Rhinolophus ferrumequinum: one gene and its partners. The protein of the gene in region 4 purifies or fractionates together with the protein of the main gene of each other region. This does not show direct contact. Links are inferred from orthologs where the notes say so. Each region holds a gene or a part of one and is shown on either strand. Other genes may lie near its edges. The genes, in order: SPTAN1, ENKUR, USP11 and MYH9.

The links.
Region 1: the proteins of MYH9 (region 4) and SPTAN1 fractionate together in Homo sapiens (co-fractionation; 3 studies listed by BioGRID and IntAct, with this or other methods). This does not show direct contact. The link is inferred for Rhinolophus ferrumequinum from reciprocal best matches to the Homo sapiens genes MYH9 and SPTAN1.
Region 2: the proteins of MYH9 (region 4) and ENKUR purify together in Homo sapiens (affinity purification with western blotting; 4 studies listed by BioGRID, with this or other methods). This does not show direct contact. The link is inferred for Rhinolophus ferrumequinum from reciprocal best matches to the Homo sapiens genes MYH9 and ENKUR.
Region 3: the proteins of MYH9 (region 4) and USP11 purify together in Homo sapiens (affinity purification with mass spectrometry; 3 studies listed by BioGRID, with this or other methods). This does not show direct contact. The link is inferred for Rhinolophus ferrumequinum from reciprocal best matches to the Homo sapiens genes MYH9 and USP11.

What each region holds. Positions count from the first base shown.
Region 1 is NC_046295.1:77,360,364-77,367,513, reverse strand, and holds the start of SPTAN1 (spectrin alpha chain, non-erythrocytic 1), read right to left. Parts: upstream 3,010-7,150; 5' UTR 2,995-3,009; coding exon 2,962-2,994; intron 1-2,961. UniProt on the Homo sapiens protein: Fodrin, which seems to be involved in secretion, interacts with calmodulin in a calcium-dependent manner and is thus candidate for the calcium-dependent movement of the cytoskeleton at the membrane.
Region 2 is NW_022680355.1:9,631,707-9,639,595, reverse strand, and holds the start of ENKUR (enkurin), read left to right. Parts: upstream 1-4,871; 5' UTR 4,872-5,084; coding exon 5,085-5,161; intron 5,162-7,889. UniProt on the Homo sapiens protein: Adapter that functions to localize a calcium-sensitive signal transduction machinery in sperm to a calcium-permeable ion channel.
Region 3 is NC_046284.1:86,668,968-86,676,210, reverse strand, and holds the start of USP11 (ubiquitin carboxyl-terminal hydrolase 11), read left to right. Parts: upstream 1-4,224; 5' UTR 4,225-4,272; coding exon 4,273-4,418; intron 4,419-4,927; exon of another isoform or gene 4,928-5,077; intron 5,078-7,243. Other genes in the region: CDK16 (cyclin-dependent kinase 16), read left to right, coding at 220-263.
Region 4 is NC_046293.1:10,281,527-10,288,550, reverse strand, and holds the start of MYH9 (myosin-9), read right to left. Parts: upstream 3,006-7,024; 5' UTR 2,822-3,005; intron 2,237-2,821; exon of another isoform or gene 2,129-2,236; intron 1-2,128. UniProt on the Homo sapiens protein: Cellular myosin that appears to play a role in cytokinesis, cell shape, and specialized functions such as secretion and capping. Required for cortical actin clearance prior to oocyte exocytosis. Promotes cell motility in conjunction with S100A4.

The DNA of each region.
Region 1 (7,150 bases), on a different chromosome or scaffold from region 4:
CTGTAAAGAGCTCCCCCCACCCTTAACCTGATATGGAGCTGTCTCTAGTTTATCTACACAAGTTCCAGTTTCTTTTTGCTCCCAAAAGGGCCATTTCCATAGACTACATTAAACACAGGAAAAAGTCTCATATCACTAAAACCAACTGCCACCCAAAGGTGTTCCAAACTCTCACCCAAAACTGTGAGACAGTGAGCAGGATCCCTTGGACCCTGCCTGTATGCACCACCTTCTTCCATGACTGCCTGAAATATGTAGCTGACTGATAAGGCAGACTCCACAGAGAATGTTCCAGGCTGTACCCAGCCTTAATGAGATTAGCACGTTTGAAGAGCTAGAAAGGAGTACTTTGGGAAAAGTGCCACCAAAAAACAATCTCCAACCAGCCTATCTGTCTAGTCCACTAACGGCCTGAAACCCACAGGAGCTGACTTCCTGGGACTGCAATCAACTGACTGCTTATCTGAAAGCAGCCGATCAGCTCTGATTTTGCCAGTCAAGTCTATGTACACAGAGAAAGGAGTGGAAATGAAGTGCTGAATGTATTCTTTGTATGTTTAAGGACAGCTTCCCATTTAAGGTAACCAAAGGAAAAGGTCCCATTTTTGCAAAGACTGTCAGAGAAGGCTGAAGATGCAGGCTAGTTATAAACGCTGCAATGCAGCAGTCAAAACGCTGGCTGCCTCATTCAGCAAGTCATGTGAACTGGATCTCGGGGGATAAAACAGGAATCACCACCATGTCCTCTACAGTAATAAATAAAAGGAACTTGTCAGGTCTTACAATACTGCTAGATCTCTGGGAAGAAAGCGTGGGGGTCTAAACAAACATAGGAATCTTAGCTAGAAAGTTCTACCTTAATCCAAAGATATAACATGCCTGCGAATGACTCGTCATATCCAAAACACATTCATACACAATACCGACTGAAAATGGAGTCTCACTAAAGAGGCTAGCCATTAATTGTATCTTTGTCTTCTCGACAAATGCCACGAGATAGCTGTTTGAGGCAGCCCTTGGTACTTGGCAATTTTTAAACACCTTAACCTAATCTACAGAAGCTGTATGTGCCACTGTGCTAGGGGCTGTGTCTACCTTTGGAGGGCAGGAAGAGGCAGCGGGTGGGTGAGAAGAACTCTGTGTTAAGCAACAGAGAGGACTGCAGAAACAAACATTTTCAAGCCAAAGGTCAAATGCTTTGGACTCTGCAAACTTAGTGCCTGCCGTGAGTGGCTTAGGACACCCTCACACTGATCTGGGAGAGTGGAAGAATCCAGCAATTTCTCTACGGGACCTCGGAAGAGAATAAAATTATAGTGACTATGAAAGGAGTGACTATTTACAACAAAGCATTGGGGCCACTGTCACTTCAACAGGCTGAACGTGCCATATGGAAGACATTTGGACTACTACAAAAGGAATTCCGATTGCAGGCAGGACACCAGATATATTGTTTTGCAAGGAAAGGGATTTTACAGAGTAACAGGATGCAGAGATCATTTGGCTCTATGGAAAAATTCATAAACATCACCCAAAGCAAAAGGTCACAGAAACTATTCATTAGTTTTGTTTTTGTTGCTTAGTCAGAGCCCAAAGGTGCAGAACTGGCAAATGCCTTTCTTCCATGGCTTAGAAAGCCAACCTATCACCATCTCTCACATGTCCAAAGCAAGAGAAGTGTACATCCATGGATGTGGAAAAGCTCCCCCAGAACAAACACCAAAGAACTTGGTCAGCACCTATAAAAACTTTATATCAATGGATTCTCAGATCAAATGAATTAACGCAAAACCAGCTTAGCTGCAGATTCTCCTGGCAGTTCTGCTGGTAAGCAGAAGTAAATATTACATCAAGTAACAGTTTAACAATGAACACTTTTTTTTTTTTTTTTGCTGAAACCACATTCCAATCGGGATTGTGGATTTGCATGTCAGCCTTCAAACTGATGAATTCATTTGAACGTGTTAGCCGGATTCTGCAGAGGTGAGCAGGGACTTAGCTTTGGAGAGAGGTCTTGTACTGCATTGCATCAAAACTCAGAAACGCAGAGCGGCGCTGCTCGTACATACGTCCACAGCCCCCCAAATACTGTCTGGCTGCTACTTACCGGTCAACCTGTAAAATTCAGATGAGAGGTATTTTGAGTGCAAAACACTGTTACTGAGAGTCAAAACGAGAAAGTCATGAAGTGGCCCATTTTTATAAACCTCCTTTAAATAATTAACCAGTCTGAGTTATAAAAGGGCCTGCCTTGGATTTATCACCCATAATCACTAAGAATTCACAAAGTTTGTATTTCTCCTTATGAAATATCAAGACATTAATTTTAAGCATTTTTCTTTTTGAAGGTCCAATTTAGCAAACACACAAAAATTGTACACAAATAAAACAGATATATAGTGAGCTTTTTTTAAAAAAAAAAAATGTAAGCTCCATTTCATCACAGGGATTGTGGCAGAAAAACTAAGTCAAAGGGAACAGGAAACAAACCCAAGTTTACAATATTTGTCAAACTTAAAAGTACTATTTTTACTGCATGTTTTCAAATTATTTTTTCCAAATATCTAAGATAATCTGTTTACTCCCTTGGTTCTTAAGAACCAAGTAACTATCAAAAAAAAAAAAAAATCAGCAAACACTACATGCAAATACCGGTAGCGTAGTAAGAAATGAATATATCCATGCCTTAAAGAGAGGAAGGTAAAAAACAGGAGGCTTTGGAAATTTTAGAATTGACTAAGATTTCTGTTCATGTAACACCAAAAAAAAAAAACAACCAAACAAAAAAAAAAACCACAAAAAAATAAACCCTAACAGTAACCTTAATAGGAAAGTCATGCAGGCAAGGTTTTTTGCCCCCTCTCTTTGAATCATTCAACCTCTTGGACACAAAGGTGTCTTCACCGCAAACCAGGCAAAACTGAAAAGATCGCATTTCCTGCATGCTGGTCAAATAAATACCTGGATTCTGCGTTTACGAAACGATGACAACATGATGGAGGAATGTGGAGTCTAAAGAGGGAGGGGGAGAGCAAGATAACAAGCTTCTAAGGGCACGGCACAAAAGAACTTCAAAATGAAAAAAGCAGATCCTTAAAAATATATGAACACAGCTAAAAATCCAATTTCACATATGTCCCCGGTGCCTTCTGAATCTTCCAAGGGCGTTACAAAGTGGAAAGAGAACCGAGGTTATCTAGTCTTAACAGTTCCGATCTAGATGTGCTCCCACGCCAAGTCACCCCCCTCCCTTTGAGTCTGTTTCCCCACTTTTCAAATAAAGTAATGATACTGAATATACTTTTTAACACTAACCATCTCGATGAATTAACTGAGATTTCCAGGACTAGGTGACTCCTAAGTCTCCTTCCCTTCAGTAATAAAACAGCATGATGTGATGAAATCATCAGAAACAAGAAAGAACTCAAGGTGCAAAAGATCTGACTTGGGCCTAGGTTACTGGTACACTTCCTCTACAAAATACCATTTCCTGTATAAAACCAGTACAAGAGGAATATGCAAAAAAGGTGGGAGGGAGGTACCAGCGCAGCTGCGTTCCTCCTGCATTCCTGGAGTCAGCATTTGCCATGAGGGCGCTGCATTCTTCCACCTACACCCACCACAGCTGACAGACCTCGGCAGACCCAGCTGCACAACTAGTGGAGTCCTCGCATAGCCCACCAAGGGAGGACTAGTGAGGAGGCAGGTCCCGTGCCTACTGTCCTTAGTGCAGATTCAGGGATGACAGCACTATTCCTAACAGCCACTTCTCAGGGTCCGCAGTGGGCCCCTCCCTTTGAGATGAAGGCAGGTAAGGAAAAGGAGAGAAAATTCTAACCCAGGGAACCAAAACATATGCTTAAAAGACAGCTCTCCCCATCTAAACCTGTTCATCAGATTGCCTGGAGTGCTCATATTAGAGCCTGTCGACAGATGACATTTCCCCAGTTATTAGATTACTAAACAACACACAGCCACAGACCAACAGCGTATCAGAGAATGTTACTGAGCTGAGGGTTAAGGCTAAGAACTGCTTCACACCTGTCAGTACAGAGCAAATCCTCCTTTGGAGTCTGTGTCTCTCCTCTAGGTCCCTGGGTAACAGCTAGCACACTTTGAGGGTCCCTTTGAGTAATTACTGGCCCAGTTACTAAAAAAGGCTTATTGTTAATTTCCTGCACAGAGGCCCTTACTGCAGCTCAATTCCCCCCACACACAGCACATTTTTCAAATTGTGACTTCAATTTAACCTTTCAAAATCTGAGACATTAATTGTAACAAAAGGGAAGAGAAACGACTAGTTTTGTGGAGTTGGAACCTTGGCTCAATGGTTTCATACAGCTGAGTGTTCCCACTGCTAGTCTTAAGAATTTTGTTTCTTGGCTGCAAGACACCCCCACCCTGCCATCTTTGATACATTCTGTTTTAGTCAAGTCCAATTGCTATGACGACGCAATTTCTCAACACATTATGAAAATATTTCATATGGTCTCTCTTCTATTCCTCCCTAACAGCCATGATATTAAGTTTTTCTAAAATACCATGATGAAGACAGAACAAAGGGCCTACAGATTTCAGAATCTATTATATAAAATAGATGTAATAAGGTGTTGCAGCAGTTCAAGCATCATCTCAACCCAGCTTTCTGGTCTATTCAGGCGTTTAATTTAAAACATATTCAACCCTTAACCTTAACAAGCCCTTTATTTAAAATATATTGTATCTCAGTACATCAAAGAGACTTTTAAAAGCAATTTCTCTGGAAAGCATCTAATCAAATTCGCGAACGGCTTTCAAACAAAAGGCTGCTCTATCATTCAACACCGGCATGGCTGTGGAATTTTTGACAAATAATATACTGTCCTCGACTGGAAAGATCCGTTCTCGGGGGAAAAAAAGAGGTACTAAATTATTTGATTTGGGTCTCACAAAAAACAAACGCCGCAGCTACCTGTTATTTACAAGCAAATCACGACTAAGTAGGAAAGAAATGTTTATTATAGGAAAGCAAAGGAGATGGCCAGCCAGCCTCGGATCTTTCCTTGTCTAGAGAGAAGGCCAAGAAAAGGCCAACCAAGACGAAATGAACGTCAAAGAGCCCTTTACCCAAGCTCTCGGCGCTTCCTCCTTCACGGGTTAAGCCGGCATTGCTCGTAGGGATTTAGGAAAAGGAGGGGCAAAAGTTGCTCCCCACCAAGGGAAGGGATTGGGGGCGGTGGGGGGAGCGCTCAGCTTGGAGGAGGGTGGTGACGATCCCGACAAGGGAGCCCCCGCCCCACCTGCCGCAATCGGATGGGACAGGGCGCGGCCGCCGCGAGGCTGGGGCGGGGGGGCGGGGGGGAGCCAGCGGCCTCGCCACCCCCTCCGCCCAGTCAATGACATTCCAGCCACCGGCGCCCAGCCCCGGCCCGGCGGCTCCTCCACAGCCCACGCGCCATAAGCCGGTCGCGACCGGCTCGCCCGGCTCCCCGCCCGACGGAGGGAACGGCGAGGCCCGCCCGGCTCACCTGTCCGCGGCTGGCCCCGCCCCTCCCCGGGGGCGATCCGGCTACCCGCCCAGGGGTCGGCTGCTCTCGGGCCCCGCTTCCGCCCGCGCTCCCCCTCTCTCCCTCTCACCGGCTCCTGGGGGTGAGGGCAGTGATATGTGGGGCTGGGGTGGGTGCTGAGGGACCGACGCGCCTTCGCGGCCTCCGCTCCTCGCAGTTCGCTCCGCAGCGGGTAGTGGCGGCGACGCGCGCGCCCCACCTCTTTTATAGGCGGCCACGCGCGTTCCGGCGGCCGGCGGGTGCGAGCGCGGGGGAAGTGCCCCCCCGCGGCGCTAGGGGCGGGGGCGAACGCCGGTGGAGCAAAGGGGGCGGAGCTCCCTCCGTCTCGCCTCCCGAGCGCACGGCGAAAAAGGCCGAGCGTTCCCGACCGGAGACGAAGCGGCGGTGCTGGGGAAGGGTCGATTGCAGGGGCGCCGCGCGGGATGGGGAAGTAGGGCGCGCGCCAGAGATGGGGGTCGGTGGTGCAGTGGAGTCTCTGCCTCCGCCCGGGCGGGCCGAGTTGCTGCAGCCGCCCCGCCCTCCCCGCAGCTCGGATTCTCCAATCCTGCCCCTCCCCGCCCTGCACTGACTCTTCTGCACCCTGCCCCTCCACCCCTCCGCCCGTGGGAGCCCTTCCAGGACTGCAGCGAAGGGCGGGGCAGGATCCATCGCTGCAGCCCGGCTGGGATGCTGCGCGTCCCGGCCGGAAAAACGCCCAGTCTCAAAGAATGAGATCACCGTGTGCTTCTCTTCCTTCTGACCACTTTCCCTGGGAGAAGGCTGGGGCCAGGGACCTAAGTCAGTCTACGCCGGTGGCGGCTGGGGTCAGAAACCGAGGATGATTTGGGGGCTCCGGGTTTGAGGAGGTGGTAGGAAAAGGCCAAAACCGATCATAAAAAATAAAGTCGACTGATTTGGAATTTAAGTCTGTCGTTCTGGGATTTTGAGGGTAATTTCTTATATTCTCAACAAAAGCTTTCTCACAAATCGCCAGTGAAATAGGATGCACCACTTTTATTTTCTAAACAAGATATGGTTCTTCCTGTCTCAATTAATTGAATGTTCCTCACGTACCAGGCACTATGCTAAGCATTTCATGTGTGACCTTTTTTTTTAATCTTTGCAATAATTTTATGACGTATTATTTCCCCATTTTACAGATGAGCATTCTAACATGGAAGCTAGGTGTCTTGCCTATGGTCAGGCAGCTAGCAAGAAGAAAAGCTAGGATTTGAATCAAGCAGTCAGAACCTTCTCTTAAACAGTATGCTATACTGCCTTCCTAGAGGAAAGGGAAGCGTTGTGATGGTGGGTGCTGGGGTGCTGAGAAAAGAAAAATAAGATTTCTGGAATTTCTGTTCTCAACAGTCCTAGCAGTTTGAGGGCCTGGCTCTAAACTCAGTATCCAGAGCCCTGGCTTAGGACGCCCTTTCCCCACCCCCACTCGGGTGACAGCTGGGCCACAGCCATTGGTAGTAACACCCAGATCATTCCTGTGCAGTCAGGCAGACCAGGAACTCTGCAGCTCAGGAAGGCGTCAGCCTCCTGGTTACCAAGCAGCCCTACTCTTTAAATAAATATAAAGGCACTGGGCACTGCACCAGAACTTGGGCCCGGGCCCAGGC
Region 2 (7,889 bases), on a different chromosome or scaffold from region 4:
GACATTTGTTTACAGTATGAGACCTGAAACAAGAAGGCAGAGTATCACCCTGTTTGACCTCAGCTTGGAACATGCACATCAGACAACTCAAATTTTTCACTACTGTGCACACATCCATGAATGACTGCAAAAGTGCTGTAAATATTAATTTGGGATTAACAGTAAATTTTAGCAACTAGAATTCACAAATATGAAATCTGTGAAAAGTGAGGATTGACTGCATATCATTTCCCTTTATGATTCAAAGCCATGTTACTAGACATTTTTCATTTTGTATTTTAGTATGTTTTTCAGTATAATGGTCATAGATAGGCAATTTTTCTTCAGCCAAAGGACAAAACTAGTTCAAATTAAATGGAAGTCAATCACAAGAGTCAAAAAACAAAAACAGAACTTAAACACAACATCTCTTGGCGATAAAGTATTCAGGTTTCACTGTATCATTAATGTTCTCAAATATTTTTTGTAGAGTCAAGTTCTACACAAAAATATTTTAGTTATACTAACTCCTAAGAGAATGGAAGATCTACACAAATCCATTATACATTGATAATTTTCAAATAGGTTTTCCTACTGATCACTTATCGTGGGGCTTTTTGAACCACTAATTCCAATGGATACTTTTTAGACATAAAAGACATGTCATTCAAATAGATAAAAAGGTAGTGATGTGTCAGTATCACAGCAAGAACTTCAAAAAAAACAAAATCAGAATGTCTACATGTACATATTAATTCAAATACTGTGTGACCCCAAGGCATAAAACTTAACAATTTTATTGTGATAAGCTGATCAAAACCGAATTAAGAATTCAAGGGAAATAAAGTACAGAAATCACTTTTTAAATCATTTCCTATGAACGCTAATAAAGTTACATTTTTAAACCAGAAATATACATTAATTTGCAGGAACCTATGTTTTCCTAAGTTTACCACTAGATGATTGATAACAACCAAACTTATATTCAACCTGTTACCAATTTTTACTTTCAAAATGATCCAGAAGAATTTTTCAATCCATTATAAAAATTACTTAGTTTCCAATTCCTCTGAGAAATTGTCAAAATATTACTTAAGTCAAAACATTGCAGCAATTTGTCATCCATTTAAAATATTTATTGCATACTCTTCTGAAATAAAACATAAGACAGCACTTCAAAAATTATTTCATAATTGGCTATATAGTTCAATGACCTTATGAAAATACTATGCCGGGATTATGCTTGTCATCTATATTAATGAAATCTCTATATAAATTTCTCAGACTAATGACTAAATCTAGTCCATTATCTAATGAAGATATTCTGAGGTTTTAAAAAATTCTTAAAAATTGTTTTCCCTAAAACCTATGTAACTTTACTAACAATTGTCACCCCAGTAAATTTAAAAAAAAATTGTTTTCCAATAAGTACCATATTTTGCCATGTATAATGTGCAACCACGTTCTTGGCCCAAACTTTCAAGGAAAAAAGTCTTTCGTTTTAATTTTTTAATTCAAATTTTTGTTTATATTTAGGTACTTGTTTTCTGTATTATAAAGGAATTTTACATTTATTTGTTGATACATTATGGTATAAGAAATTTTGTGTAACAAATAATTACAAAACACAAGAACAGATACAACATACAAGAAATGTTTGTACCAGTAACAAATTTATGATATTTACACAACCCAGAAGGCCAAGAACTCTTCATCATTGCAAGTTCATCATAAGTTCAATATAACCAATTATCGTTTTCCAGGGTATTATTCTGCATACAGCTACCATTATTGATTTCTACAGTGACACTTCTAACTCATACGCATAAATAAAAGAATTTAAAACAGTTATACAGATACGGAATTAGTACTACCTATGTATAATGCGCATCATTATTTTTCCCTCACAATTTGGGCAACAAAGTGCACATTTTACATGGCAAAATACAGTAATAAGAAAAAATACAAATATACTAGGACAAAATAGGCAGGGGGAGGTAAAATTCTGCTGCTTCTGACTACTGAACAAAAATCCTTCAGTCAGTTTGCTCCTACTTCCTTGGAAACAGTGATGTGGAGAGGGTGGAAGGACCACACACCCCAATGGCATGTTGTAATCACAGGGATCTTACAATGAAAAGCATAATTTAAAAGTTCACCACTCATCTTTGCTTGTATCAAGTTGACTAAGCATTTCCTGTTGTTTACATTTGCTGTTAGATATCCTCTTAGTAGTCTTGAGTATTTAATTCAAGACTTTTTAAGTACACTTTTCAGTACTATGACTTGGAAAAATATTGTAAAGTATATCTGGCTTTATAAAGGGTTTATTTTCCTCCCAATTGTCTTATTTGTATTTCCCACCTACTCTCATTTTATTCATCTCAGTAGATAAAAATAATCTTTAGCAAAAATCCTACTTTGTATGTGCAACCATTTACAGCAGGGGTCTGTGCAAACTACCAAGCCACAGGACAAATCTGGTCAACTACCCTTTTGTAAATTAAGTTTCGCAGGAACACAACTTTACTCATTCATTTGTTCACTTGTTTAGTATTGTCTTTGGCTGCTTTTGAGCTACAATGGTAGAGCTGAGTAGTTGCAACAGAAACCATGTGGCGTGCAAAGGCCTAAAATATTTATTATCTAGCCCTTTACAGAAAAAATTCACAACCTTTAATGGTATACCAATATTAATTCCCTATGGACATACCAGACACAGGCATTTCCCTGAATAGTATTTCCCTCTTGAATGAATTATAAAAATTAGAAACTTATTGTTTGTAAACATGCTTTCAACAGACAAACAGAATTACAGACCAAGTATCTAAGAAAAAAAGCGTTCCCTTCCAAATGACTTAACAACTTCTTCATAACTGTAATCTAAATGTACCATAGTGAGGTCTTAAATTCTGTTTACTATTTTTAAAACCACAGTAATATACTGACATCAGTGAAAATACTGTATTCATAAACACCAGAAAGTCAAGACTAGCCAGTTGGTGCTTACTAAGTGGAGAATCATGCCTTTTTTCTTTGCCTAACTGGATCTTTTAGGAACTGATTAACACAAATAGTCCCAAAGGATTCCTTTTAATTACAAAATGTAGAAATTTTGGCTAATGACTATACACTTGGCTAATGATATCATTCTGAGTCCTTAGTTCAAATCTTGGCATGTACAGAGAAAAATTCTGTTCTCTCTCTGGAAAAAAAAACAACAAAAAATACTAAAAAACAAAAAAACCAAAAAACCGAAACCAGAAATACTCAAACGGGAGACAAAAAAGGGCAAATCTGTATATACATATTTTGACTAGAAAATCTGGTGAAAAAGAGAAACATTCCCAAGGTGTCACTGATCTGAAATAAAATATTTGTTAAACGCCTGGTATAAAATTTAAAATCTCATCAACTGGAAAAGGAATGATAAGGACCTACACATTCCGCATAGCCTTTTAAGTAGGAACTAAAAAGTTAACCAAGCAACCATGCTGTTTTAATCTCTCCACCGAGCACCCCGGCTGCCAGGTGACCAAAACTGGCGTTCTCTCCCATCTTCAAGCTTCTTCATTCCCTTTGGGCAGAGAGGCTACTGTAAGGTTGGTTCAGAACCAGCTATCTTCCTTCCCAGATCGTATTGCCAAAATGTCTTTAGAGACTCGGGATGGCAAAGGCTTTTAAATGCGCTTCTCTCAGCAGTCATAACGTGTATAAACAAGTTTATGAAATACCAAATGGGCTGAGAACGGAATAAAACAGCTTCTCAGAAAGACAATTTTCAAAAACGGACACCAGAAAAAAAAAAAGAGAAAGAGTGAGAAAGGGTAAAAATTAAAGGGCCCATATAAAAAGCTTCTTCTGGTTTAAAGCTGCTCGTTTAAGAAACAAAGTCCACATATCCATGGATGAAGACCTAAGAGGAGGGGACCGATCCAGAGGGGTACACAAAGGAGAGCAGAGGACCGGCGAAGCGCAAGAGAAAGCCGGAGGCCCAGAGGAGAACCCGGGAGCGACAGGTGGACGGGAAGAACAGCGGAAGGTGGGCGCACAGCGAGTTCCGAGCAGGCTGGGACGGAGCGACCGGGAAATGAGCGCAGACAGAGTTAAGATGACAACCGAGTAGCGGAAAGGGGACAGCACGAAGAGGGGAAAGGCATGAGATGGGAACGCCCTGGTTTCTATAGTCTCCCTTTCTTTCTCCTAAAATAACTCACCTAGAAAATCACACTGAGAAGACGGGGGAAAGGAAAAGAAATGGGAGGGTGTCCAGGAGCAGCCAATGTCGCGTTGGGATCGAACCCCGCACGTCTGGCTCTCGCCCCAGCTCGCCCACAGCTCAGGTCGCAACCCTCGCTAGGCCCGCCCCACCCACGCGCTGTGGCCTCTGCGCCTGCGCTAGTGTGGGCCGATGCGGCCCTACGCGCCCGCGCGCCACACCCACGGCCACAGCAGCCCCGCAATGGGCACAGAACTCTTGTCTGGCGCTCCACCTACCTGGGTCTTCTCGGCTCCTCGGACTCCTCCCCTCGTTCGTCCCGCTCTCGACGTTTTTCGTGCGTTAGCGTGGCAACAGTCGCTGGCCCCGCCCCCGCCAGAGTTGGGGCCTGCGCACTAGAGCCTTATTGTGTGACGCGTGCACGCACGCTGCGCTTCGCCTGTGCCAGTAATAGTTTTTCTTTCTCTTCAAATATACAGACAGAAAAGAGCAACATTTTTAAGGGACCCCATTTTTCACCCCATTATTCCCAAAGACGCATAAACAGTGGTCTCCATATTGAACTTTTCTGGCAGAAGATGGAGCTGCAGCGAAGAGAGGAAACCTAGTTTGTAGTGTTGCTAACCACTTCACCGTCGCCTAGTAACTGTTTCCACGGCAACTGCGCCGTCAACAACGCTAAGCAACCCCAAGAGGAATAGAAAAGTATCTTCTTCCCAAGAGAGGACCGCTAAGAAGAGGTCAAAGGGGAATTATGTGAAAGAGAAACCTTAGTTCCTTGAGAACGCAAGAGAGTAGGAAAGGAAAGGGGAAACAGTGAAAAAAGAGACGGAGATATTGGTATTGTGAGAAAAAGTTGAATATTTTGAGGAGTCGTTTGGTGGCCATGGATTCAACATGCTCTTCTGAGAGCATTTATAACCTCATACCCATTGACTGGAAGGAGCCTCCCCAGCCTCCTAGGTATGTGGGTAAGCCAAATTATTGCTTGAAACAAGAATGGGGAATAACTGTTCCATTTCAGGATTAACTAAGGATCACATGACTTTTAAAAAGAAATAAAAAATATTTTTGTCTTGATCAAGTTGCCTTGAATGGAAACTTCTTAAAGGAGAGGTTGCAAAATCTAGGTATTTAGCACCTCACAATTCAAAGGGCGATCCAGTGCTGTGAGAGGGCCATTTTTTTGTTAGTCTCCTGTAGTCCGGTATGTAACTGTTTTGTAATTTATCTAATTGTTCGTACGTACTGTGGTTGGTATACAACATAGCGTGAAATTTCTTGTTGAAAAGAGAACATCACAATTTTATTGTCCTGTGTTAGGATACTTGATATTTGGTTTCAAGAGTTCATTGTTTTGCCTCAGATTACACTACTCCTTTTCTGAAAGGATAGTACTTATTTTTTTCCCCAAGATTATTGTCAAATATAAATTTGTTTCTGAGCCTCAGTTTTTTGATCAGTGAAACAAAATAGACTAGATAGTTTCTAAGGTCTTTTTCAGGTCTAATACTTGGATGGAAGGAAGAGTGGATCGATAGAGAACCAAAAATATGTCCTTGAGTTAAAAATTTTACATAGGTGTTAGGACCTCTTAAATTCCCCAAATTTCAAAAAAGTCACCACAAAGTAAACATTCCTGTTACTCTGCTTTGCAGGAACTTAGAACTTATTTAAATCTATGGGGAGAAACTCCTTTTTCCTGATTCAAGTCAAAATCACAACTGGGCAAAAAACAAAACAAAACAAAAAACAGGCACTGCAACTAATAGGTTTTGGGATCATGAATAAATTTTTATTTTCTGATCTGTGAAACAAACTAAATGAACTAGATAATCTTTAAAGCCCCTTTCAGATCTAATGGTCAATTATTTTTACTAATAATTATGGGGGGTGCAGAACGTCTTCAACAAGTGGGCAAATCCTTCCAATTTAAGGCTGAGTATCCATGTTTTAACCAGAGCAATACATACATTGTTTTACATGAGCTTCTCAAAATCTAGTAGAGATTGGAAAGGAGAATGCAAAGTAAGATATGATACAGTTACAGATTTTATGAGGAGTGTTCAAATTAACTATTGCTGAATGGACTTTGATAAAAAATTCCAGTCTATTGTAGAATATAAAGCTCTTCCTCTTTGTAACACACCAGCAGATTGTATTTTCTGTAGAGTACTGAATTTGAATGGTATGATATTTTATTAGGTGTTCTGTTCATTGGTAAAAAAGCTTTACTATGCATCTAGGTGATTTTTTTTTCAAGAAATTTTATAGGAACAATCTCTATTCATTTGACAAGCATTAACTGAGCTCCTATTATGTGTATAATATTGCCATTGGGGAATATTCTTGGGGAATATTGGAGTGACAACACAAACTCCTTGGGTTACTCTGAAGTAATGAGTAGGAAAAAGGAATTTGTGGTGAAGGGAATAGAATGCATACACATGTGGTGCTACAGAACACTGTCAGGTTAAAGTCAGCCGACTCCGTCAGCAAAAGCATGAGGAGTTTTTAATTTGACAAGATTAAAGAGTTTCCATGTCATGCATGCAAACTACTAACTTATAAAAACAGAGCATGATAAAACATTTAAGCAATTCTTTCTCACCACACTAACACAAACTTGCCTTTACCCAATCCCCTTACTAATAGTAAGAATTAATTATAAGAAATGTATTAAGCTATGAGGCTTATTTGCGTCACTGAATTACAAACCCAGCATCAAGAAAGCTCACTGCAGCTCTTTGCAAGACTGGCAAGTTGATTGTCCGGCTTTCATAAAGAGATGGATTCTTTGGAGAAATCAGCAATTGACTGCACTGTGATCTCCCATACCTCAGAGGTTACAGCCTCCTTGGGCAAATGAAACAAATATTAAATCATTGATTAATAATAAAACCATATATTATTGAAAACCCTAATAAGAAATACAGATACTATTAATAAATGAGATAGATATATGTAACCAAAGTGGAGGAGGAAGCAACCTTTTGGAGATGAGCTGGGACTTAAGATACAAGTCAATGGGAAGCCATGAATCAGTTTTCAAAATTTCAGTTGCTCATGATACATGAGGTGGTTTCCAAGATCTTCACCAAATTTGTCACTCTTCTATTGATGGCTCCAATTATTAATATCTCCAATCATTCTCTCTTTTCCTTTTGTTTAAGGCAATGTTCCAGATATGGTCTGAACAGCCCATAGAACCATTATCTTCTTGATACACAATACTTTTATTGATGGGTTAGTAGCATTTTGACAGTCATGTCTCACCATTGTTCCACATTGAAATCCCCACATAAATTATGACTAAGTTTGGTCCCTCCCATTTTATAATTGTGTAGCTGATTCTTTTTGATCTAAAGTCATCATTAATCTATGGAGATAGTTTTGAATTTTTCATACACCCTCTTAACCATCCGTCCCAGCTGTGTGTCATTTGCAAATCTAATAAGTATGTCGTTTATATCTCCATCCATCATTGAACAAGGCAAGTACTTTGCACTTTGGTAGACACTTCTTTCTAGGCTGACAGGAATAATGTTTTTTGGGGTTCAGTCAGTCGTCCAAATGCATCCATTAATCAGTTCATGTTTTCTACCTTATCAGTAAGAATTTAATAAGAGGCTTTCCTAACACCAAGATACATATTATTATGTCAAGGTATTTGCCTGATTTATGACTCCAA
Region 3 (7,243 bases), on a different chromosome or scaffold from region 4:
GCTGGAGGGATGCCATACCCCTCACAGGGCAGCCCCCAACTGCATCCTCCCTGCTTGCCACCTGCCTGACTCATGCTCACCTGCCCACATGTCCCCTGCTGCCTGTCCAAACACCCGATCATTGGCCTGTCAACCCACCCATTGGCCTGTCTGCTGGGTGCTAACAAAGCTCTCAATGCTCCTTCGCCTGGTCTGTTTGTCTCTTTCTCTCTGTCTCAGTAGTTGCCGGCGGACAGCATGGCCGTGCCAGCCTCCCACATTGAGGCCAGGCCTGTACCCCTCCTCATCATGCCCTCCCCCAGGACCACTCACTACCCCTTGGCTAGCCAGGGGGCCAGAGCTAGCCCAGGCAGGGGTTCTCGACTCAGACAAGGTGTGGCGATGCCTTGGGTCTGAGACTGTCCCTGCCTGCTTTCCTGCCTGCCCCACCTGCCTCATGTTTTGTGGGCCGTTTGTTTGTTTGTTTGTTTGTTTCATTCATTGTTTTTTAATTATTTTAAATGAGGTTTTCATTTTTTAAATGCAATATCTCTGTATACAGACTGGCTGGGCCCCACCCCCTGCGTGTGGCCCTTCCACAGTATTTTGTGCAATGAAGCCCCACTCCCAGCCTTTCCAAGGCAGGGACACAGCCCCTATTCAAAACCCTGACCATCACCAGACCCTGGGGTCGGCTAAGGGAAAGCATGCCTCAACTACTCGCCTTCCGACCCCCGCCGGCCATCCCCAGCCACAGGGGTACCTGGGCCCTACTGGAGACTCTGGGAGATGGACAAGGTGGGGGCCCCCACTCTTTCCCTCTTGCAGTCCCACAGCTGGGGTCTCTTTCCTTCTCAGGGTCTCCCTAGCCCAGCCCTCCTGCTCCCATCCCACTCGGTGCTGTTGAGTAGGGGCCCTGCCGGGAACTGACCAACTCAGTGAGGAGCCATAGTGTATATGTGCACAGGCAGGGACAGGGGGGCAAAAGGGGGGGTTGTGCCCAGGCGTTAGCCCCTAACCCCTGGGGAGGGTGAGGCAGGGCAGGGACAGTCTCTGGGGTCAGTCCCAGATGGGTGGTTACCTCCCCTTCCTCCACTCTAAACCCTGGGTCCCTCAAATGGGGTGGGAGGGCAGGGGTGGGTGCCCTCCTAGTGGGGTTTGGGGGGTTGGGTTCCTGAATGCACCATAATCGCTGTATGAAATATTAAAAAGTCTAAAGTGAAAAACGTGATTGAAAATCCCTACAGGGGTGAGGGTGGGCTTGACCCAGGGTGAGTGCTGGGACCACGGTGAATTCATACCTGGTCCCCGTAGTGTAGGAGAACACGGGGAGTGGGCCAGGGACACGTCACAGCTATGAAAAAAGCATCAGGGTTTGCACACACACCGGTGGAACACTGAAGCAGGTAAGGCAGGCTGGATAGAGGATGGGCTAAGAATCAAGCAGACAGAGGAGTTGGATTTACCCAAGAATATGAGGAAGCCAGCTAGAGGGTAGAGACGGGAAGGTGTAGGGAGGCTGTTTGGAAAATACATGAAAGGCCCACAAAACCAGGAGGTGGGGAGATGAGGCAGCAAGGCCCAGTATGACCACCACGTGTCTCACTGGGACACCATAAGGCAGGCCAGTTGGAGAAGGAATATGAGAAGAGGATGGATTTTGGACCACTGAGGGGGTAGGGGAATCCTATAATACATGGATTAAAATCAGGAGTGAGTCCATCAATGGAACTTGAAGTTTGGATCATTAGTGTCTAGGAAGTAATGAAAACCACGGTGAGACGTGGGTGAGATAACCCTGGGAAGGATGCAGTCATTTGTGAGAGGCCACAGGTCGAATGGCACAACCTGGGACTTTGCCTAAAGTGTGAGGGTAGCCGAGGCTTTCATTCTCTTTGTCCTGAGAGTTCTAGCCCCTGTCCCACCGTTTTGGGCAAAGCCAAGAATCGACTTCCAAGCAGAAGAGATGGGGTGGGCAAGGCCAGGTAAACAGTGCAGGTAATAGCAAGTCTAACTATGCTGGTTACGGAAATCCAGCGGCAGGGGCCCAAGGGCCTCTAATCATTACACTGTGTTCCTGTATGCACTTTGGTTATATCTCAGCTTGCAGCCTCACGGTTCCGTGATGGCTGTCATGGCCCCAGAGGTGGGAAAGCAAGCAGGCAAAACAGGGCACCCTCCCTCCCTGTCTGTTTCCTTGTAACAAATAGGGCTGCAACTTCCTGTGCCATCTCTTGGCTAGAACAAGATAAGGAAGTTGTCCCCCTTCCTGGAGCAAGGGAGGCTGGAAAAATGAAGACCTTGCAAAGGGGGACAAGATTGCCAGGCCAGCCTTAGAAAGGCTAGAATTCACACAACTGCTCTGGGAAGTGGTAGGGTCACCGGTGTGGGCAGAGGTGGGCTTCTGGAAGGTGCAGAGAATGAGTCCAGCCCTGGGGAGGGAAACCTTTTGGACTGTAGGAAGGACTGGCCACCCAGGTAAATGGGGAGGAGGAGTCTGCAGAGGGGCAATGGGAGAGCAGCTGGGCTTGAAAAGCAATGAGCAATGTGCTATGTGCCAAACCCAACCTGAATGCCGCTATGGGGACCCCCAGGTGAAAGGGCTGCTCCCTTTTCTTCCTCAGAGATTATGCAGCTGAGTTGTTACCCTCATCCGTGCCAGGTCTGGGCTGGGGTCTGGAATCAGTAATAAAGACAACCCCTGCCCCACAGAGGTAAATTATGAGATCGTGTATGTGGGGCGGGTTGAAATTGTGCACAGAGAAGGTATTCTGGACACTCCAGGCCCAGGGACCTGTGTGCATGCATGGGCCTAGAGGTGTGGAGAGGCGAGGTGTGTTCTTGCCTGTGGGACGGGGTGGTGAAGTGAAAGAAGTCACTGAAACAGACCCAGGATCGTGAGCCTGTCCTGGGGAGTTTGTGGGATGGTCAGATGGGGATAACCAAAATACAAGTATGTAGATGCAGGGAACCAGAGGGAGATACTACTGTTATCACCAATAGGGAGGGTGGGGAGCCCTAGCAGAGAAAAGAATGGCATAACCTAGTGCAATGATTCTGAATCGGAGATAATCCTGCCCTGCCCCCAGGGGACTTTTGGCAATGTCTGGAGACACTTTTGGTTGTCCCAACTGGGAGGCGCTAACGGTATGTATAGTGGGAAGAGGCCAGGGATGCAGTGCAACATCCTGCACTACTTCCCAAAACAGAAATGCCAACAGTGCGGAGATTGAGAAACCCTGGCCTAGTGTAACGGTTCTGAAACTTTTGGTCTCAAGCCTTTTATATTCTTTAAAGTTGAGGACAGCCAGAAAGCTTTTGCTTTTGTCACAAAGCCTCTGAAAACTTCCACCACACGTGCAAGAGAGAATGACAATAAAAAAAGTATTATGAAACTATTTTTGACTTTGTGAACCCCCTAAAGGGCCTCCTGAACGGATTGAAGCCTAGGAACACAGTTTAAGTATCTCCAGCCTGGTGTTTAAGGTCACAGCTCGAACTGGAATTCCTTTATTCAAACCACAGCTCAGCCACTTACTGGCTGGAGCAAAGTGAAGTAACATTTCTGGTCCTCAGCTTGCTCCACTGTTGCCCATGGGCGACTGATATCTGCTGCCTAAGGCTACCATTTACTGCAATAAAGCACTTAAGGCTGTTACTAGTTATCATTGCTGTAACTCCGATAAATACACAGGGCCTGGGGCTGACTTCCATTCAACACGGTTATGGAGAGAACAAACCTAGTTCAGACAGGGAAGCAGTCCGCAGGCCTGGGTGGCGCTGTGGAGGTGGTGACCTCTTTCGCATTGGATTTTGATAGACGAGAAGTGTAGTGCATTGAAAGAAGGGCATCCTGGTCCGGCTAACAAAAACGCCGCTCCCAGGGTAGGGACCCGCGGTCCCCAGCAGAGAACCGAAAAGACCTGGTACCTTTGTGTGTCCTCGAGCACTCCCCAGTATGTCCTCGTCTACCTCGGGGACCTCTGCCTCCACCCTCCACACAACCATTTGCAGGGACTCAACATGGCGTTAGGATCCCACAAGGCACCTTTGTCTCTCTTAGCTCCCAACTGGAGGTTTTACCCCGCCTATTAGTCTGAAACATCACCACCCACGGTCCAATGCCGGCCTAGCGCTTGGACGTGTCCCACCGTGGTGCCCATTTCCAAGATTGTAGGAGCCCCCGGCTAGTTGGGGGGCTCCGCTTCCGTTTCCGGGCCAGAATCCGGAAGTGCCAATTGAGGGGGACTCCTCTATGCCCCTGCGAGGGCTGTAAGAGGAGGACGAACGGCGATGGCGGCGGTCGCAGCGAATCCTTCGGCTACGGCCGAGGACCCAGAGCCACAGCGCGAAGCGGTGCCGGGCCTAGAGAGCCAGCGGCGCCAGATTGAGAACGTCGAGAGTGGGCGAGAGCGTCCACTACGGGCCGGCGAAAGCTGGTAAGACTGGGCTGCAAGCGGAGCCTTGGCTAAAGGGATAGTGGGGGTGTTGGTGATGGTGGAGAACTTGGCGCCCAGGTCCGCAGTTCGGTGGGGGCGGGGGTGTGGCCTGTGGCCTGTGGGACGGAGAACGAGCGGGGCAGAGGGGCGGGGAAGTGCCTGTGAGTGATCGCTTGGTCTGGGAAAGAGGCGTGGCCCGGGGGTGGAGCCTAAAGCCTGAGAACCAGATGGGGTTTGTTATGGAGAGGTAGGGGGCGGGGCCTGATAAGAAACGGCCTTGGGGGTGGGCCTGGTCCTCCGTAGAGGAACTTGGAACCTGGGAAGGAGGCGGTCCGGCGGCGGTTGGGGGCGTGGTTTGCGTGGAGTCACGTAAATCTGGGGGCGGGGGCGGTTGCTCCACGGAGCCTGAGAACGAGGCAAGGCGGTGACGTCAGGGAGAAGAGCGAAATCCGAGCTGTGGGCGGGAGAGCGGGGCTCGCGCCTGGTAACGAAGTACGTGACGTGCGCCGAGGGGCGTGTCCTGAGGCTAAGGAAAGACTGCGGCAGAGGGGAGGTGTTGCTAGTGAAGCAGAAAATGGCGCCGGCGAGTGAGCGAAGTTTGTGACGCGGCGAGGTTTTTGCTTTCGGACGAGGCCTTCCCAGGTCGGAAGAAAGTGCAGGTGATTGGCGCGGGAGGGACCTTCGATGTTATATTTGGTTTCTGTTTTAGTACTGTTATTTTTTTGTCTTCAGGGAAAAAAAAGCGCTATTTTTAAAATGTTAATGAGTATCTCGATAAATAGGGTTGTTTTTTACTGATTTCATGGCTAACCAGTGCGTGAAATCTACTGTTTCTGAGTTCAGTTTCTTTTTTGCCGAATTGTATCTCCTTTTTTAAATTATGAAATACGTAAGCCTTAAGCAAATTGTATAAAACGTTTAACGTAGCCCAAATCGATGGACATTCTATAAAAGTAAACGGCCGTTTTGAATAAACGGCTATTCAAAAATTTCAAGGTCGTGAAAGACAAAAGATGAACTGTTCCAGATTGAAGGAATTAATGGGATTTAACAAGTTAATGGTAACTAAATGAAACGTGCGATCCTGGATTGGATCCCGGAGCAGAAAAAATAAATAATTGAAAAATGAGGCTTTTTTTCCTCATAAAATTAATTTTCTCTTCTTTACTGTAAAAGATGTTAATGGGAAAACTGGTGAAATTTGACTAGGTCTGTAGATTCGATATTAGGACCGCTAATTTCTGGCTTTTGGTAATTGTGTTGTGGTTGTGAAAGAGAATATCTTTGTTTGAAGGAAGAACATGCCGGAATATTTAGGGGTAAAGAATCATCAGCTTACTCTCAAATGGTTGAAAAAATAGGGTATATAAAACTGTATTTAAAGAAACAATGGTCGAGCAAATGGGTAAAATGTTAAATTTGGTCTTCTGGATGGCGGGCATCCGTGAAGTCTTTGTATTACTTTTGCAGTTATTCGGAGTCTGTTTCAAAGTAAAAAAAAAAAAACAAAGAACAATAAAACAAAAATTTGTGAATTCACCACTCGGGTTAAGATTCAGACGGTTACCTTAAGAAAGCCTTCTGTGCCCCTCCCAGATGAAAATTCAGGAAACTGTTATCCTGAATTTTTAATTTTGGTAAATGTTTTTCCACCACTGTATGCATCCAAAAATAGTGTTTGTGGTCTAAGCTTTAATTTTCCTGGAGAATATATATGAAACCATATTGGATGTATACCGTGTACATTGTATCAGGTGGTACATGGTATCCACATGACGTCGTTTGTGACGTTAGCCTTGATCACGTAGTGAAGGTGATATCTGCTCGGTTTCTCCACGGTAAAGGTACTATTTTTCTCTTTCCATGCACAGTAATTCTTTCAAAAACATAATCTATGTCCATCTGTACCTCAAAACATTTTAGCAGCTTCCCACCTCTTGCAGTGTAAATGGTAAAATTGTTAGTGGCTTGCAAGGCTTTATGATTGTGAGGCTGGTCCCCAGCTCTGATTTCTCCTCAGATCTGATTACCCTCCCCCTCACCTTCTCCAACCGGCCATATTGGACTCTTGCTGTTCCTCTAAGGCCACGAGCGGGCTCCCACCTCATGGCCTTTACAGGGAGGTCTGCCCATCTTACAGAGATCTTTAATCACGGAACTGGTAAAATATATATATTCCTGTTACTGGAGAGACACGGTTGAGATTCCCTAAATCCGCAATACGGAACCAAACACTTTTTTACACCGTTAAGCTATGGCTCTCCAAGGAAAAGCCTCAGTCCATCCTGAGAATAAACAACAATAACTGGAACGTCTTTATGGCCCGTTTAGAGGTGTTCAGGGTTTCCTTTTCGGGGGGATTGAAAATGTTTTGGAACTAAATAGAGGTTGTGGTGGCACAACATTGTGAATGTACTAAATGCCACTGAATTGTTCGTTTTTAAAATGGTTCGTTTTCTGTTAATTTAATTTTTTGTGTGTTATATCAGTAAAAAAGTTAACCCACCAATGTTGGTTCAGTATTGAAGCCAGTTTATCTCTGCTACTGTGGATAATATCAAGAAGCGTTTTTCCTTAACTCCATTTTTTTATATGCTTATCTATTTAGGTAAGAGCAAAGCATCTCAAGGTTCTTTAATTTGCCGCCTATTTTCTAGGGGTTTGCTACAGTGGTCAGGAAATTTGTGTTTAAAGCATTTTGAAGTCATGAACTAACCCCAAAATCATATACCTCGTATCAATATTAATATTTGCACCTTCTGTCTTTTGTCAGCTGGTAGATCTGGGTAAGGGCAATTGATTTAATTTCTAGGAGAAGCTAATAT
Region 4 (7,024 bases):
TTAAGGCCGGGAGGCAGAGACTCTGGGGCTGCACAAAGAGAAATTGCACTTCCTGCCCCTGCGGGCAGAGATGCTGTTTTATGCTCAGCAAATTAGGATGTTTGTTTAATTAAGACGACACACAGATTTTGTTATTCTAAATATTTCTGGAACACGATGCTTGGGAGGAAGCTGTTAAAGCAAGGGTTTTTTTTCCCCCTTTGCTTTGGGTTTCTGTCTCCCCCTCCAAGAGAAGGGTAGGGCCCGCCTCCGAGGGAAACAACAGCCAACCCCTCCTCTCCTTTTGAAATAAAGATGTCAAGCTGGTAAGGGCTGTCTTAAGCACTTTACTGAAGGATTAGCTACAAGAGGAAGTGAAGAAAGCTCAGCTCGCCTGGTTTCTAGCAATACCCTACCAGGCTACACAACAATGCTGCATTTTTTGAATGTGCTTTTCTCCTTTTAAAAAGCTAACAGATCCTTGTTTTGTTTTTTCTGGAGCAAGAACAGGCGGAAAGGCAGGCTGTGATTAACATGCGACCTTCATCCTGCAAGAGGGAAGTTGTCCCATCTCCAGCCCCTTAGGTTAAAAAGTTTAAAAATAAAGAACAGAAAGCCGGGGCCCTGACCCTCTCTTTCCTCTCCCCTCATGCGCCCTTCTGACAAGCAGCCCCACAGAATACACCCCTCAGGCTGCCCCTCCCCAAGCAGAGCCTGCCAATGGGGCACCTGGATCTGCCCATAAGCACCGCCAGGACTTGCTGACAGTGAAGAGTAGAGCTCTTTGGTGTCACCCCGCAGACATCTGGGGGGCACAGCGGCTCTCAAATTACATCGAGCAATCTCTTGATGCTTTTAATTGCCCCTCAATTATCCACTAAATGAGTCCTCACTTTCCAACACCCAGTGCTTGCCCTCAGTTTGCCAAACTTGCAATGTGCAACTTCCTCGAAGCAGCTTCCCTCCTGGCCCCAGACAGAAGTGGCCCCTCTCCGGAATTCCTCGAGTCCTTTGTCTGTGGCATGCTTGGGACCCTCATCACAGGCTGCCTTTGTACTTCAGTCATTGGGCCACTATTTCCCCTTGAGGAATGTAAACTCTCGAGCCTCAGGATGGGCTGGCTCTTTTCTCCCAATCCCAACGACTCACAGTACCTTTCTGGGGTCTCTCTCATCTTCACCTCACAGGACAGTCATCTACAGATTTGTCTCCGCTCTCTCCTAAGCGTCCAAGGGCAGGGGCCAGGTCTTACTCAACCTCACACCCCCACCACCTGGCAGAGTCCCCAGCACCGAGAAGCCAGTTAAATATTTGCTCAGTTACACATCTGTGTACCCACCTCTCACCCCTAGCAGCCTGGTATATAAATTGACTAATATTAATCAAGCGATTGTCTAAACAGGCCTGAAAGCAGCCTCCCTCCTTCCCAAAAAGGAAGTCAGCCACCAGGTGAGTTACCAGGCGGGCCTCAGACAGTGGGGTGAGAAACGGCCACAGCATTGCAGGAAGCCCGTAGGGCTCTCTTCTCCCTCCAGTCACCCAAGTTCCTCTGAAACCCTGTAAAACCCAGGCCAGGGCGCAGTGGACCGCGAGCGGCCAGGCCTCTCGAGCGCCCCGAGGAGGACGCGCCGTCCCCAGGACGTGGGACTTCCCAGGAACCTTTCTCCTCACACGGGCTAGGTGGGGCCGCAGACAGCAGCCCTGGCACTCACCCTGCCGCCACCTCAAGACAGCCGGCAACCTTCTCCTCGTCCGTTTCCATGCGAAACGGTGGGGCTCGCTGGGGGGGGAGGGGCTGCGGTCCTGCCCTGGGGGTGGCCCCAGGACAGCACGGCGCGAGCACCCCCGCACAGGGAAGTGCGGGTGGGGGTGTAGAACACCCTGGATCGGGCCCACACAGCAACCATGCAACAGCCCAGGCCTCGTCCTCGAGGAGCAGCACCCAGCTCCCTCCACTCCCACCCGGGCCGGACGCCCCCAGGTGCGGCGCAATCAGGTGCGCGCCTGGACCCAGCCGATCGCTGCGGGCCCTCCTCTCGGGGCAGAAGTCAGAAGTCAAAGGTGGAAGGGTTGTGGGAGAGCGGGGGAGTCTGTCCTGCCTGGCGGCCCGGTCCCGCGGGGTCGCCCTTCCCCGCGCACCCCTCCGCACCTCTCTCGGTCCCCTCGCGCCCGCTCGCTCGCAGCCCAGCGAATGAGGAAGTCGGGAGCGGAGGGCGGAAACTGAGCCGAGTGCAATGTCTGCAGCAGATTGTCCGATTCTGACTCAGGAGGACGCCCTGACAGCTGCCAAACGGTCCCCGCCTGCCCGTTACCTCCGTTTCGAAAAGGCCTGGAAACTTCCAAAGCAGCCGGAGCCCCGTGCCCCCCACCTTGCCCCCACCCGTTTGGGTCGAAGGGACAGCGGCTCCCCGGAAGGGGTTAAAAAGTTTGCCCAACTTGGGAACTGGGCGAGGCGAGGGCGGGGCGCGTGCCCGGGCAGCAGGGGGAGGTCGAGGCTCCTGGGTGCCCCGCCGGAGGCGTGAGGCGGGCGGGGGTGGGGGAGACCGAGGGTTTCCGGGGAACGCTGGCCCCGAAGCCTTCCTCTGCTCCCCAAGGCCTCGCTTCCAGAGGCGCTTTCCCCGAGAGTCACGCAGGGGTCCCGGCGCCCCTCAGGGAAGGATGCGGTATCCCGGCCCAGCCCCGCCGCGTTAGCGCCGGACCGCGCCAGTAGCCGGCCGCGCGGAGGCCGAGAACCACACGTCGGTCGTTTCGCCCCACACGCCGCGAGTCCAGTAGCCGCCGCCCCCGCCGCCGCCCCCGCCCGCCTGCCCCGGGTTGGGACCGGCCGGTGGGGCTTGCTCACCTGAACCTGGATCTGCCCCGGGGAACAGGCGCTGCTTCTCCCGAGAGGGCTTTCTCGAGCGCTCTAGCGACGGCGGGGTGGGGCGAGCGCGCGAGGCGGGAGCTGCAGCAGGTCAACCTGGCTCAGCCTTCCGTGCCCTGCCCAGGAACCGCGGTGATCTGCGCGCCTCACCGCACCCAGCTCGGCTACTCGCCGCCTTCCCGCCCCGCCCTCTCAGCCGCTCGCCCATTCTCCGCGGCTCCGGGGCGGAGCCTGAAGGACGCCCCCGCCCCCTAGCTGTCTCACCCACTCCAGCTTGTTCCCACTCTTGATGGACAGATATGTTAGCCTGTAAAAAGGGATGGGCGGAGCCTATGGGCCCAAATAAGTGGGGATTCATCATCCCCCCACCACCACACTCTCCACCTTCCTCCGCGCTTCCTAGGCGGGAGCCCCGCCTCCTAGGGCGGGTCCAACGGACAGCCAGGTTCCAGGAGGACGATTGACACAGAGAAAGTCCAATGAGGAGGAGGAGGCTCGCAGGGATTTTTTTTTTTTTTTTTTTTTTTTTTGGTGCATTGCCTGGGCGGGGTCGAGGCCCGGCGGGAGTGGACTGGAAAGGTCCGGGATTCTGACACCCCGCCCCCGCGAGCTGTTTTCCCTGTCCAATGTCATCCTACCAGAACAGAAATTAAGTACCATATATGGGAAAAGTGCTATTTTACATAATTATTATGGCCTGTGGGGCGAACAAGGACTCTGCCCGGGATCCGTTGTGGAAGCCCTGAGTTCGATTCTATAGTGTGGGCACGCTGCCGTCTTTCAGCCTCCAAACCTTTGCTCAGACGGGTTCCCTCTGTCTGGAAGGCACCTCCAAGCCTCTCTTTACCTTCATGTGATTAACTCGCACACTTCCTTTTAGGTATTTGTTACAAAATGTTTTCTTGGTTTTTTTTTGTTTTTCAGGTAGGCAAAGAGTACTTTTTTTGTTGTTACTGCCCATTACAAAATTAATTTTTTTTTAATTTTTAAGAGAATTTTTATATTTATCTTTTAATTCACCTGGAATTTATTTTTATTTTGGAGTGAGGAGGAAATCGAATACAATATTTGCAACAGCCAGTTGTCCACACACCATTTTCTCCACTGATTTCAGGTACCACCTTCATCACCTATCCAACTCATACAGCATACGCTTCAATCTGTTTCTGAGTTGTATCCGTTGATCTTTCTGTGTGTTCCTGAGCCAGTTCCACAATACTTTGATGACAGTAGCTTTCTAATACATTTTATATCTAAGAGGGCAAATCTCTCATTACTCTTTCCTTTTGGACTCTCCTTCCTATGACGACTAAACTCTTCCAAATAAACTTCAGAAAAAGTTTATGACCTAAAGGCAAAAGAAAACTGGAAAAACATTTTGCTACGAAGAATTACTACCAACAATATATAAAAAGTTATTCTCAGTCCATAAGAAAAAGCCCAAATACTTCAAAATAAAAATGGCAAAAAAAAAAAAAGAAAGAAAAGAAAAAAGAAGGGAACAGGCAATTCAAAAAGAAGAAATCTAAACTGCCAATAACTATAAAAAAAGAAAAACAGTCATCAGAAATGCAAACAAAACGACATAGGATGCCATTTTTCACCTATCAACTTAAAAGAAAAGAATAAAAATGCCCACTGTTGGCCAGGTTTAGAGATATAGATGGGAAAGTAAATTAATCAATTTTCTTTTAGAATCCATCAATAAAAAATTGGAAAAGTGCACAGATATGGGTTTAAAAGTTCTTTTCAACATTGTTGATAGTCATTAAATTTTATAAGTGTACAATAGATTGATTAAATAAATTTTGATACATCCATATGTTGAAAAATACCCAGAAATTCATTAAAATTTTAATGCAGATTTGTATTTACTGATTTAAACTATACTAAGCAAAAGCAAATTTTAGAATGCTATTGTAGCAGGATTTAATTTATTTTTGTGTACTCTGTGTGTGTCTGAGAGAGAGCGCGTGAGAAGTTGAAAAGGCTTTATAACAGTGTAAATAGGGCAGAAGAATTGTGACTGATTTTTTCTTTTGCTTATCTGTATTTCTATCATATATGTCTTACACAATTTTTCCAAAAATGGAAGAAAAACACTCACTTCAATGTCACCTCTTCCAAAATGTCTTCCCCGACCCTCCAGGGATCCAGAACTAACAGGAGGCTTGGCATAGAATGGTCCTTAGTGAACGCTTCAGCAGGACTCAGAGAGTACCTGTTTCCTTATCTTCAAAATGGGCGTAATCACCAGGCCTTGCCCAGCCCTCAGGACTGTTGGGAAGAGCCCAGAGACTTGGACCTGAAAGCAGTGTGCACTACGACAGAGCATTATCTTCTTGTTCTTGTTGTTGTTGTTAGTACTCAACAGAGTGTTATGGAGAACAATCATTTCCATTTTCTTCAGGAGCCCCAGCCTCCTAGCACCACCCTCTTCCAGGGAAATGAGGTCACTAAGAAGATGGAAGTCCTCTGTTGCCCGGGCCCTGAATTCTCTCCTTGCCATCCACTAGCCTAGATGCATCCATAACTAAGAAAGCCCTCCTACTTGCTGTCCAGCCTCACCATTCCCCCATCTCCCAAGAACCTGCACCCTTGATAGTGTCTATTCTTGTAATAGTTTAAAAAATATTTCATCTATTTTGTCTGAGTGTTAAAATAGTATTATGGTTGGTATAGAAAATACTAAAAAGAAAGAAAATAAAAATCTCCCAAACCTTACCACCACAATATAAAAATTATTAACAGTTTGTTATTTCCTTCAAATCTTTATATAACCATATTTAAAATAAAATTATACAGTCACCTGATTTATTATAAAGGTGCCCCTGCAAATAAGTATGGAAAAGATGGGTTTTTTTTGTTTGTTTGTTTTTAAAGATTTTATTGGGGAAGGGGAACAGGACTTTATTGGGGAATAGTGTGTACTTCCAGGCCTGTTTTCCAAGTCAAGTTGTTGTCCTTTCAATCTTAGTTGTGGAGGGTGCCGTTCAGCTTCAAGTTGTTGTCCTTTCAGTCTTAGTTGTGGAGGGCGCAGCTCAGCTCCAGGTCCAGTTGCCGTTGCTAGTTGCAGGGGGCACAGCCCACCATCCTTTGTGGGAGTTGAACTGGCAACCTTGTGGTTGAGAGGATGCACTCCAACCAACTGAGCCATCAGGGAGCTCAGCGGCAGCTCAGCTCAAGGTGCCTTGTTTAATCTTAGTTGCAGGGGGCGGAGCCCACCATCCCTTGAGGGAGTCGATGAATTGAACTGGCAACCTTGTGGTTGAGAGCCTACTGGCCCATGTGGGAATCGAACCGGCAGCCTTCGGAGTTAGGAGCATGGAGCTCCACCCGCCTGAGCCACCGGGCCGGCCCAAGATGGTCTTTTTAATGAATGATGCTAGGTAAACTGCACAACCACATGTGGAAACATGAATCTTGACCTCTACCCTCATACCACTGACGGAAATAGTTTACGATGGATCAGAGATATAAATGTGAAAAGTAAACAATAAAACTTCTAGAAGAAAGCATAGGAGAATATTTTCATGACCTTGAAGTAGACAAAAAATTCTTAAACAAGACCCCAAAAGTGTAAACCATAAGAGACGATTGTTAAGTTGAACTTAATGAAAATTAAGAACTCTGCTCATCAGAAGGCACATTTTAAGCAAGTGAAAAATCAAACCGCAGCCTGGGAGAAAATGCTTATAATACATAGATATAACAAAGGACACATATCTAGAATTTATCAAGATCACCTACGTTAACAAAAAGACAATCCAATTGTTTTAATGCACAAAGATTTGAATGAGCACTGTATAAAATAGAATATCTAATTAGCCAGTAAGCAAAAGAAAAAAGTGCTAAACATCATTAGTTATTAGAGAATGCAAATTAAAACCACAAAGAGATAGCACTATCCCCAACCAGAATGACTAAAATTAAGATATTATGTGTTGGCAAGAATGGGGAGCTACTGGAACTTTCATAAATTGCTTTCTACAACCACTTTGGGAAAGTGTTAATCCGTGTGGCTACTAAAGTTGAATATACGTGTAATTCCCTATGATCCAGCAATTCTACTCTTTTTTTTTTTAAACTTTTATTTATTTGTGTTTTTCCAGGACCCATCAGCTCCAAGTCAAGTAGTTGTTTCAATCTAGTTGTGGAGGGCGCAGCTCACAGTGGCCCATG